Styela clava: one gene and its partner. The protein of the gene in region 2 purifies or fractionates together with the protein of the main gene of each other region. This does not show direct contact. Links are inferred from orthologs where the notes say so. Each region holds a gene or a part of one and is shown on either strand. Other genes may lie near its edges.

Evidence for each region.
Region 1: the proteins of N-sulfoglucosamine sulfohydrolase-like (region 2) and formylglycine-generating enzyme-like purify together in Homo sapiens (co-immunoprecipitation; 3 studies listed by BioGRID and IntAct, with this or other methods). This does not show direct contact. The link is inferred for Styela clava from reciprocal best matches to the Homo sapiens genes SGSH and SUMF1.

What each region holds. Positions count from the first base shown.
Region 1 is NC_135251.1:23,323,170-23,329,261, forward strand, and holds formylglycine-generating enzyme-like, read left to right. Parts: upstream 1-4,227; 5' UTR 4,228-4,319; coding exon 4,320-5,456; downstream 5,457-6,092. Other genes in the region: putative tRNA(His) guanylyltransferase, read left to right, coding at 6,016-6,092.
Region 2 is NC_135252.1:7,180,845-7,188,149, reverse strand, and holds N-sulfoglucosamine sulfohydrolase-like, read left to right. Parts: upstream 1-4,173; 5' UTR 4,174-4,409; coding exon 4,410-5,954; 3' UTR 5,955-6,545; downstream 6,546-7,305. Other genes in the region: putative serine protease K12H4.7, read right to left, coding at 1-41, 623-828, 1,783-1,958, 2,349-2,462. UniProt on the Homo sapiens protein: Catalyzes a step in lysosomal heparan sulfate degradation.

The DNA of each region.
Region 1 (6,092 bases), on a different chromosome or scaffold from region 2:
AAGTGATGGGAGAACTTACAGCGCTCATCCTGTCCCCGTAGATGGGGGTGACTTGGTCCCGCAGTAGCTTGCCCCGGTTGTCAAAATGACCACGCGCCGCCACTGGACCTACCGTACTATTTATTATCACAGCTTATGGCGACCCACTTAACTTTAATTTAATTTTGTTTGTTTTTTATGACATAACACAGAACACAGCAATGGCTAATCATTGCAAAACTACCGTGTTTCTTCGAAAATAGCACCTGGCCTGAAAATAAGATAATAACTTGAATTTTCAAAATAATTTTAATTAAACCCTACCCTTGAAATAAATTTAAAATGTGTGGGAGAGGAAAGGTTCATTGGCCTGAGGTAAGGTGAAGATCACACCACTATTCGAGATCGTGTGATATGGATGGATGTCGGTTTTTATATAATGTTTAGTAAAAAATCTTGTGATTTTCTACAATGTGATTTTATTTTTGATAATTGAACACAAAAGACCTCTTTCAAAAACAACCATAGTGATATTCTTCAAAAGAAAATAAATTTAAATCCTGTCTAAATTTCGGGGAAACACGGTAAGAAGTGCTGTACAGTGCACAAAACTGCTATGCGTAAAAAAGCCACATGGTCATTTTTGTGTAGCAAACTTTTGTTCCTTTGAAAAGATCGTAAAAGGAAACTTTTACAGATTAGAATTTAAATTAAATTTAATTTTTTTTTGTTATTTTGAAGATTTACGTATTCCAGTCGCCACCGATTCTAATAACCAGTATAATTATCCAAAGCTTTCTACATCTTTTCACGACCCCCTAAGATTCCTTTTGCGACTCACCAGTGGGTCGCGACCCATAGTTTGGGAACCGCTGCTCTAGCTAGATATATAACTTCAGAAATGTGATATATTTTTGTTTTATTCACTTGTATAAATTGCCTTATTCTCGAAAATGGATTGACATCTGTCAAACATAAAGTATACCTAGACTGCGAAAATTATAATTAGTCTAAAGCTCTTCTTAATCTTTTTGCAATTTGTATTACTGTTTCTTAATAATTTCCATGATTTACATCATCATGTGATATTCTTTTTTCCTGTAATTTTTAGTCTCGTTTTAGTACTTTTTGAGGAAGTTATTTATGGAGGCCGATGACTCAATACAATAGTCTTTCGCGACACCTCGTCACTTGCGAAACATTTTCGATTTAATTATATTATCTCTATTATATATTAATGTTATTTGTTTACAATGTTTCATGCAGGACAAAATAAAATATCTGAATCTTAACCGGGATTAAAACTTAGATAATTTCAGTCTCGCCCGCCCCCTTCCGATTATATTTCATGATTATAGTTTGTTCATTCTGACTGCAACGTGTAATTTAATAGTATATATTTACGCTTTAATGAAATATTGCCTAATTATATTTAGTTTTTATATATATTTTTTGCGATTTTGCAAATTTGTAAACGCCGTTAGAAAAATCCTACTATCTGCTATAAATTTTCAGAAAGTATATTAGTAAATACATATATATTCATCGCCTTGTTTCATTATTAATTTGATTGTGATCATTCTAATCTGCGGTTGTGTTGACGAAATAAAAGCAATACTACTCAGAACATATCATGACAATTCGTAGACACAAAAATACGTAGTAAAGTGCCCGATTAAATTTTGTTTTAATTCGTATTTTTGTGAACTCGACAAATTTGAGCTGTTCGTACAACACTTACGGTGCTCCAGTACTGTACGTACCAATGTGGAGGCAGTAAAGCAAAGAAAACCTAAAGGAAAATGCCCTGGTACGTATACTACAGTAGCACCCGAAATTTTGCGGTTTGCAATGTCTAAAGAGGCGTTTTTAATCGGTCGCGGACCATCATAAAAACAAAACTTAAGATGTCCTCCGTTTTATATTTTAGTTTTTTGTATTGCCGCTTTTCAATTAAGAAAAAATTTGGATTTCCACCATTGACATCTACCAGAAAAAAAATTCATTCTTCGATGTTCGAACTCGCCAGAAACACCACTTATGTATCTATCGAAGCGTGTGCAGACTCGTGTTTTTGTCGGAAATCCGCAAGATTGATTAATTAGCGACGCGGCACCTGTTACCAAATTTTGAATAGTAAATTGCTATTCTAATAGTTGAATATATGCGCAGCCCTACTCAGTAACCAGTAATTATTGACTCGATTAATGTTATGTGGATAAACTTGCTTTTTATGTTATATGTAAATTCGAACGTAAATCGTAACTTGGCTTATTAAGTTTCGAAAAAACGTTTGCGGCCCGCAGTGAATTTCTGGCTCGTTGCGGACTCTTTCAAATGCTTCGCGGATTCATTTGAGACCGCGGACCCGGGTTGGGAAACACTGTCTTAGACCGTAAATATATACTACTACTTTAGACAGTAAATAAATAATGCCAGCCTAATATTAGCTATCAGTGCCTGTAAGCGCACGTAGATTGAGGTTTTTAATAAAAAAGATAATTGTGAACATCTAAGCCATTTTGCGAGCGCCAACCCTCTAAAATCTGAATTACTCTAAAAAAAGCGTCAATTTTTCAAGGGTGAAAAATAAAAAGGAATTTTTAGGGGTCAAGGGTCGGGGTCCATTCGCGCAAAAGTTTGTTTTTGAAAAACTCACAAAGGCGGTCTTGAAAGTTTTCGCGCAACCGCGAAAGGCACTCACGCCGCTTGTCAATCAATCATTTATTTCGGTACTCTGACATAAAAACAAAACAACACAAAAACTGGACAAACAAACAAAATGCGGAGATACCTGGAAGGCGAGCATAACTTAAAATAAAGTTAAAAAACGTAAAAGTACCGGTACGCGCCCGCCCACCAAAAAAAATATTACTGTATTACTACAAGAATACAAAAAACACGATTCAGAATCGGGCAATGCTTTTTAAGGGATCTGTGGACAACTTACACAAAATATAACAAAATTTAGGTACATAAATTAAATGTAATAGAAGAGTAGTAGTTTTTGGAAGAGTAGTCTAATTGCAAAAGTCTTCGCTGGAATTTAGTAAGATTTAAAGTATTACTGCGTTTCGTTTAACCAAATCATGTTTTCTACGTTACGGTACCATATGTCATTTACAATGCATATGTTCCAATTTAGCATCTAATAATACGGTACTACTGTACCAGCAGTTTAATTTTCGGTGACGTAGTCAGTTGGGGGTTAGGATTGACATATGCAAAAATTGTTGAGCCAGGCCAACTACACTAGAAGGGGATGTGGTACTAAACTATACCAGACCCCAGTTTATCTATCTACAGATCTAGGCTACCTCGCTGCCTCATGCTTACTGGTACTTCTATGCCTCATTAAAGTGCAGAAGTGTCTTGAGTGTAGACTGACCAAATTACTGTACCTGCTAAAGTTCAGAAATTGTACTGCAATACCTGAATTCCAAACTAATAATACTGTAATATGCAAAGTGTGTGTGATTATGTGCAATACAGATCCCTGATAGCCTAAAACTGTAAAAGAATATTCATGATAGGTATTTTGCTTCACAAAACACTGAAAGACAGAACTGCAGAAAGAAGATACTGAAATACTGAAATATGCTAGATATGAGTTCAGAACAGCAGGAAGGTTCATAAAAAACTGAATAAGGCCTGCAGGCCTTATTTTGCTTCGAAATACAGAAATACTAAAAAATCAACAATGGAATAATATGAATGGCTGGATAATACTGAATGATGTTTACGAATATATTTGTTTATTATATGTAACTATGTTCTATGATTATTATTTTTTCATCATTTATTTATTTTAACAAAACTGTTATGAATCCACAACGTGGACCTTTAAAAAAAAAAAAAAAAAAAAAAAAATCACTCATGTCTGGTTACAGTAGCTAAACTCTGTTAATCAGTTAAATAACACAGAACTTAAAAATTACAGCAAGTGCAGTACCTAACCTACCGCAGTCTGGAAGTAGTGTCGATCCATATCGCAGTATTGTTACATGACAATAATAGACAGATAGAGGTAGATTCTATGTAACAAAGTATTCATTCATGTACAGTACACATCCAGACATCATTTCTGAGTTTATAATAAGAAACAATATAACATTTATAACTACAATATGTAAAAAATTCGATAATGTATTAGTTATGTTTAGCATAATTTTGCTATCTTTTGTGCGCGCTTAGCAATTCGCCGCACTGCATGTCATTTTCAATATAAGTTAATTGTGTCATATACCCGTATATATTTTCAGAATTTGTTGCTGTAGTATTTAATATTTTACTATATTCTAATATTACTGTAGCAATTTGTTATAAGTGAACAATCTATTATGTTATTAAAATTGGTTTTGTTCATCTTGATCTTATGCACCTATGATATTTCTTGTGAAGAAAATGCAGAACGAAACCAAATGAACGATGCAAATGGGGACAAAAATAAAGATAAGAGTTGTGGCTGTGATAAGCTTAGTAGGAAAAAGGATGATCAAGATGCAGAAGTTGATGATGTTGTAATAGAAACTGAAGGTGAACCTGAGATCACACACCTTAAGGTCGGTGAAAAATTCTCTGCCAAAATGGTATTAATTCCAGCAGGCCCCTTCAAAATGGGTACAGACAATTCACCCGTACCACCTGCTGATGGAGAAGGTCCATTACGAACAGTCACGTTGGATGACTATTATATTGATGAAACTGAGGTTAGCAATGAACAATTTGAGCAATTTGTTGATGAAACTGGGCTTATCACAGAAGCCGAAAAGTTTGGGAATTCATTTGTACTTGAAAATTTCATCAGTGAAAAAACGAAAAAAGATATAAGTCAAGCCGTTGCCCAAGCTCCTTGGTGGCTACCTGTGGATAAAGCATCGTGGCGCTATCCTGAAGGTTTGGATAGTGACATTAGGAAACGAATGGATCATCCCGTTGTTCATGTATCATGGAATGATGCGACAGCTTATTGCAAATGGGCTGAAAAGAGGCTTCCAACGGAGGCAGAATGGGAGAAGGCGGCAAGAGGGGGGCTGAAAGATAGACTTTTTCCTTGGGGCAATAAACCCAATCCTAAAGACCAACACAGGATGAATATTTGGCAAGGCGAATTTCCTAAAACAAATACTGAAGAAGATGGATATTCATCCACAGCACCTGTTTTAACATATGAGCCAAATAAATATCAACTTTATAATATGGTTGGAAATGTATGGGAATGGGTGCAAGACTGGTGGACAATTGATCATAGTGCAAACCCAGTTGAAAATCCAAGTGGCCCGAAAACTGGTACTGATAAAGTAAAGAAAGGAGGCTCGTACTTGTGCCATAAAGATTATTGTTATAGATATAGATGTGCTGCACGAAGCCAAAATACACCAGATAGTTCAGCTTCAAATTTAGGATTTCGGTGTGCTGCTGACAAACTCCCTAAATATTTACAGCCAGAGGAAATATCTAAGCATACTGAACTATAAATATTTTTGAACATTCAAATAAATTTTTTTTTCATAATTTAGTGCCAAGGTATTGATTTCTATGACATTGTGCAATGTGCAATATCTATGAGTTTGTTAATTCAATTTTAAATAAGAATATCAGACGAAAGTAAACGTAGTAATCCTATTTGATCTGCTGTTTGCTGGTTTACTAGCATAATTTGGTGATAATATGTCTTGGGTTGTGTTGAGAGTGTAATCATTTAATTAAACACATTATTGTATTCGGATAAAAATTATGGTTTTTCAATCAATTCATTATAATGAGGAATGGAATATGCTAACAATAACAGTGCACAAGATCTATCATTGCATCGCCAATACACAAATTTTTCTGAATGCAATTGATGACAAATTATTCAGATATGTTTGAGAAGTCAATAGTCAAACTGGAGATGCATTTTGCTTAAAATTTTATAGCATAACATGACAAAATCTATGCATAGAAGAATACCATGTTGCAGTTTTTTTGAAATTTTCATTCGAAAGCATAATTGATTATTCTTTTAATTGATATTAAATATATTGCAGCAATAACATGGCAAAAAGTAGATTTGAATATGTTAAGCACTTTGAAATACTGGATGAGTGTTTGAGAAACTGTTGGATTGTTGT
Region 2 (7,305 bases):
ATCCATCTTTGCAAGCAGAGGTGCACTTGCAGACATTGCTCCTGTGTATTAGAAAATAGTAGTTAAATTGGAAAAAAAAAATCTTGATTGAGTTATTTTTTAAATGGCTCGGAGACGGGTGTAAATTCTCACCAATCATGCATACAAGTATGGGTGTATGTTCACTAAACGACGTAAGTACTCCTATTTGGCATGGCCTGACCATTTTTAAATAGGTTATTCCTAACCCCCACCTGGCTCTGTCATCCAAAGATTATGTCACTATGACCTCACAATCATGTCAAAGAGCTTGCCATAGTTTAGCTACGAACGCACCAACGATAACAAACTCCCTAACATAAGGATAACAAACACCAGCGATCTCTCCCATATCGGGAACGTTACAAGGAAATGAAAGAAATAACTTGCTCAATTTCGGGTGATCGTTTGAGCGTCTCGGATGACAGTTAGTATAGTTTGGAAGGCCGTAGTAGTGACATAATTTTTGAATGACATAGTCAGGTGGGGGTTAGAAACAACATATGGTGTCAATAATTTCCATTTATGAGCACTCAAGAAATTCTTCTTAAAAATCCTTTAAATCTTCCATATTAACAATACAAGTCTACCTAGCTATCAGTACCTTTAATTAAATGTGGATATTTAAGTTTCATCCACAATGAAAGAGATCCAGGATAAGATCCACCGAATGTTATCCAAGTCTTCAAGCCTGATGTTACAGTTTTATTTGTGATAAATCTTGCTATGTCAGCGAGGGCTTGTTCACTTGATAAAAATTGAAGATTCTCAACAGATGTGTCATTAGTAGGATGACTTTCCCCATAAAATCTATAAATAAAATTTATATATGAAATGAAATTATAAATGTTGGCCAGCTTGTACTTCATTTTAAATCTAAAGCAGTTATTTTAGATGAGAATATATTGTTAAGGCAGGACTTAAACTATACAATCTGTAATCATAGAAAGGAAAACTAATTATGCCGATGATGGGTGATGGCCCCTCCGTTATTCATTAATCTATGATTGCCACAGAATATTACCTTGAAACATTACATTTCTGTTTTAATATAAATTGATAATTTTCTTTGTTAAATTAAATGAATAATGTGTGTTCGTTCACTTCATGATGGGAAATTTCAATAACAATATATAATAAATGATAGCATAATCATTTGGGGTTAAAATTTCGGGTCTCGTGTAGTTTCGTACCTAACGTACTTCTAGTGGGCGTAGCAAAACAATTTTTTGATATGTCAATCCTAACCCCCATCTGACTACGCCATCCAAAAATTACGTCACTACGACATCACAATCACGTCATAGAGCTTGACAAATAAACGTACAATCGCCCAAAATGGCATTGGCGCCGACGATAAAGAACTGACAGACATTATCGATCTCTTTCCTATCGGAATCGTTGCGACGAGAAAACAAGAGAAATAACTGTTCGATTTCGGGTGCTCGTTTGCGCCTCTTGGATAGCGAGTCGTATAGTTTGAAGGGTTCTATTACATCACTGTTGACGTAATTTTTGGATGGTGTAGTCAGGTGGGGGTTAGGATTGATACGTGAAAAAATTGTCATGCTACGTCCACTAAAAGTATGTACGAAACTACATGAGACCCAAAATTTATTGTTTTAAATTTTTTCGCTATCCTATTCATATAAAGGCTCAGTCTATATGGCGAAGATGGTGGAAATAGATCACATGCACAAGGAAGGAGGCTTGATTCTACACACCGTGAAAACCTACTTATATCTTTTTGTCCAAATCACTCACCTATGTTCTAAAATAAAACACTTAGCACCAACTTCCTTTGCAATTTCAATCCAATGTCCTTGATCCAACCATACTGGACCTGCGGGTCCTTCTCCACCAATTTGTAAAAAAGCAGGTCCACCTGGTGTATAGTATTTATCCGATACAAAATACCTCTGGCTCCACGTTCTGTGATTCTAAAAGTATACATGGTGTCATTGGTGTGCCAGTATCAAAACTTTGTATCTTGTTAGTCAAGGACCTTATGTGTTGAACATGACTTAATTCAGGATAAAAATTGGTTCAAAAATATGTTGAAAATGTATTCAGAACATTAGGCAGGCTATTCGATCTTGACAATCACTAATATTAGTCCAGAATAAGTCGAATGGTATGAATATTCAAATGTGACTTCAGTCATAAATTTTCTTGAATAACTATTTGAGAAATTTTGGAATCAGCATATTTGGCATGTCATGAAACATTTATAAATTGTGTATCACCATGGTTTCAGTAAACCTTTGTCTAACCAATATTGAGAAAAATAGAACACAAAAAGAGTTATTCAAGTGTTGAAAGACACTCACCTCATGATCAAAATGATCAAGAGTTTGTTCGAACCATTGTTCTTCTGCAAAACCAGATGAAATGCAACAGATGAGAAGCAAAAGATGACACACCGAAAGAAACATCTTTAACATATTTATGTATTAGTGTATTCTAAGGCAGGGGTTCTCAAACTTTTGGTGTTGCGGAGCCCTTGAAAAGTTGAATATTATTCGCGGAGCCCCAAGATAAATGTTAAAATTGTTACTTTCAGATTAATATTCCTGGGCAAGTTAAAAGTACTTTACTTATTTAAAATGCTGAACCTTTTTTAATAGGATTAACACAAGCCATAAATGAATCTGAATTTTATACTAAAGCTGTAAATTTGACACTTGACGAACATATTAATAAATTAGGGGTCGAATCTTTTCTCTTTTGACATTTTTAGAAGACTTAACAGGCCGCTAATAACGTGCGCGATTTTATTTTGTTACAATCGCCGATTTTTTTCGTCAGCATGGCGTGTTTTGAACATCTTTATGCCGGTGTTTATTCTCCCTAAATCAAAAATTTCCCTCGGCATATACATGTATTGTTACACAATGACGACGTTAATTCCTTTTTTGTTCTCGTGGGAAATTATGAGTTCAATGTGAAAAACATGTTACCATATAATAGTCATCTGCGACGAAATGTTAAAAATTATAATTAATAAAGAGATAAATCCGAAACTCAAATTTCTTGATTGAAAAACGGCATTCTAAAATATTAAAACTGAAACTTAAAATGGAAGATCACACGTTTGGCTTCAGCAGACTCACCTCAGATTGAAAACGCTTTTATAGACATTGTAAATCACAAAATTTGGTGTTATGTTAGGTTTTCGTCGTAGTAACTGCGAAATCGAAACACAGTCAATTGTATGCGCGATGTACCCTTTTTTCCCATTCTGAAACTACCGACGAAGCCGCATATACCATATTTCGAGGCTGTATTGTTGTCAGATTTTATCAACGCTGTTATTGCTTCTTTCAACAGTTACAAAATTTTGGGTCAGTATTTCGCAGAGTAATCGAATAGCTCGCGGAGCCCCTGGGTTTCTCTCGCGGAGCCCTGGGGCTCCGTACGGAGCACTTTGAGAACCTATGTTCTAAGGTACCGTAAATACCAAACATAAATTCAATATTACCTCCTTGGAACTCGAATTTCTACCTATAGGCTAGTATGTACCGTAGCATCAAATAATAACAATAATTTATTTATTTAGTCTTCGATCTTACAAGTTATGGAATGCGTACCGGTAGCGCATATTATATTATTGACAGTTGCAACGTGTGGCAATAGTACGGTACCGTTAATCGAGTTGCTTGCTTTCGGATTAGGCTATACCGCAATGGAACAATGCTAATCAAATGTGAACACACGAACAACAAATAAATGAGACAACGCTTGGTCGTTGCTTGATAAAATATCCCGTTTTGGAATTTGTCACTTTGTATCCACCCTACTTTAGAGGGGATTCCCCATTCGTGGTAGCAAGTTGTGCCATGTTCTAAACACGGCCCGAATCTGTAAACCACTTTTAAAAGTCAATCCAGAATCCTAGATATCAATTTGAATAAACTACGATTTCACAAATCAATAATGTACTTTTTCGACCTGTCATAATATACTAATGTTATCATAATATTATCAGTAATAATCACGAGACGCCCTCCTTGCCGATTCTACTAGGATTTATTTTTATTTAAAGTCGAAAATTTCCACCCCAGATTCGGGATTTTAAGATACAATCCACTACTGTAGTCGAGTTGTCTCTGGTGAGTTGTCCGTGTGGTCGAGTTGTTCGCATCCCTCCACTATAGCGTTAACTACTATATATTTACGGTTAACTTCAAGACAACTGTACGATAATTGAATGCCTTAGTTGTCAGCAATTTTTTTTGTATTAATAATTTTCAAATGAACCAACCGGTCAGGTAGTCTTACCAGAGCCAGAGCTCTGGTCTTACCATTTGGTCACACATCATGCAGCGTCATGTGATCGTGTCGTACGGGAAACCCCCTATTACTTAGCCTCTGCAATTTGCAAAAGTGCAATGGTTGGGTGTCTAGGGATGTTCAATCTGGTGCGTTATTTTCATTTTTTATTCATTTGTTTGTCGTCATTGTGTTTGTGCATGGCTGTTATTCCTCGCAATGTCCTGGTAATAGTTGCAGACGATTACGGATTCGAATGTGGAGCGTATAATAACAGTGTCATATCGACTCCAAACATAGATGGATTGGCATCTCGCGGAATTTTGTACAAAAATGCATACACTGTCGTAAGCAGTTGCTCGCCCAGTAGATCAGCAATTCTTACAGGCCTTCCCCCACATCAAAATGGCATGTATGGATTGCACAATGGCTACCATAATTTTGATTCATTCAATGCAGTCAAAAGTCTTCCTCTCATACTAAAAGACTCTGGTATTCGAACTGGTATCATTGGTAAAAAGCATGTTGGCCCAGAGGAAGTTTATCCATTCGAATATGCTCAGACAGAAGAAAATAATTCAATTATGCAAGTCGGGAGAAATATTACCAGAATGAAAGAGCTAACCAGAGAGTTTTTGTCTCAGAGTAATGGTTCTTTCTTTTTATATATTGGATTCCATGATCCACATAGATGTGGGCATACGCAACCACAATATGGAGTTTTTTGTGAAAAATTTGGAAATGGTCAACCAGGAATGGGAATAATAGAAGATTGGAAACCTGATTATTATTCGCCCGATAAAGTAATTGTGCCTGGATTTGTTCAAGATACTCCAGCTGCAAGATCTGACCTGAGTGCACAATACACAACAATATCAAGACTTGATCAAGGAGTTGGACTCATTTTAAAAGAACTTGAGAATGCAGGTCATGCAGATGATACTTTGGTAATATTCACTTCTGATAACGGCATCCCATTTCCAAATGGAAGAACAAATCTCTATGAATCAGGCACTAAAGAACCCTTTATTGTTTCAAACCCACTTAAAAAGTCATCTTGGGGAACGCATAGTGATGGAGTGATTTCCACACTAGATATTACACCTACAGTGTTAAAATGGTTTGACATTTCATATCCAAGTTATAAAATATTCGGTCGTCGTGCTAGTTTAACTGGACAGTCTCTCATATTTAGTGATCCAAATATTCATGGAAGATATGTATTTGGCAGCCACTCATTGCATGAAATCACAATGTATTATCCTATGAGATCAATTAGAAATAAAAGTTGGAGGTTAATTAGAAATTTGAACTATCTTATGCCATTTCCAATTGATCAAGACTTTTATTTGTCTCCATCTTTCCAAGACCTGCTGAATCGTACTAGAGATGGAAAGGATCTTCATTGGTTCAAAACTTTGAATCAGTATTATTATCGCCCTGAATGGGAGATGTATAATTTAGATAATGACTCGCTGGAGATAAAAAATCTAGCAACTGATGAAAAATATAAAGACATTTTTCAGTCTCTTTGGATGATGCAAATGCAATGGCAAAATCAAACACATGATCCTTTCATTTGTGCACCAGGTGGAGTTTTAGAAGATGCTGGAAGTTATAAAGCTCATCCTGTGTGCATGGGACTCCAAAACAATTTGCATTGATGAATATTGTAGCATTTTTCAATTTGTTTTTGATATGCTATATATCTACAGCCACTTTTTTTTACCTCATCATGATCAGCTGTACTTGTTTCATTCTTGTTTGATCATATATCAACTTGTGTTTCTTTACATTTCAATAAATATGTCATTTAGCTGTGATTTATTTATCTCAAGTTCATATTATTTGTGTCAATCTTGTGCCCTGCATTACCAATTAATGTATGGAATGTCATGTTTGAAACCTGGTTGCTGGCAAACTTGTGATCTTTCCTCAACAACAAACAAAAAAACATTTTTATTGACCATCTGTAAATGTTATACTTTATCTTTAATGTTGGGCTGATATCATTTTTATGTATTGGGTTGCCCACTATCCCAAAGTCAGTTCCTTCAATTTCTTCTTTTGACCTTCAATTATAGAGAATGCGCTTTTTTAACCTTTAACCCTTAAAAATATGACATTGCTGTGAACCCTCAACTCCAAAAGTATTTGGTAAGCAATTTTGCAATATTGACAAACAGTTTAATCAGCATGATTTTTGTGTAGTTCTTTGTTGATCAATGTTTGCTAAGTACATACATGTTACCTTGTTTGCTTACTGGTATAGGTTGGATTGTAGCAGAGCGGATATTTAAACTTAGTCTTAATATTTAATACCTGCACTTATTCAAACTGCTAATAATCTGACCAAATCGCTAATCATAACTATGCAGTAGCAAGTTAGTTTTAAATAGATGTCATGCTTGGTCATCATGTTTTGCGTAAAAACTGGTATAATATGAAGCAATCTGTTGGAAAGCTACCTCTGTAAAAAGAGCAGCGATCTTGAATTTTTCTTGATCATTATCATGATCTGGAATAAATAGGTTGTTTACTTCTAAGTTATCTATCGTGGCTAACATCCTTATTATTCAAGTTATCATTATAAATATTGGTAGTTATTCATTTTATGGTACAATAATGGCTACAAAACCTAGAAATGTGGAGGTTTTTACTGATGATTGTTTGACAAATTATACTTACGTTTTCACACCAGACTTGCTTCAAGGCCAAGTAGCCTTCATAACTGGGGGAGGATCTGGAATTGGTTTCCGGATTGCTGAGATTTTTATGCGGCATGGATGCGATATTGCAATCGCCAGTCGGCGTCTAGAAAAAGTGGAAGAATCGGCGAAAAAATTAGAAAATGCCACTGGTAGACGTTGCTCGCTCTATCGCTCTATCTGTTGATGTCAGAAAACCAGAGGAAATTGAAAAAGCTGTGGATCATATTTTGCAACATTATGGAAAGATTAACGTTCTTGTCAATAATGCTGCTGGAAATTTTCTCTGTCCTGCTGAAGATCTTTC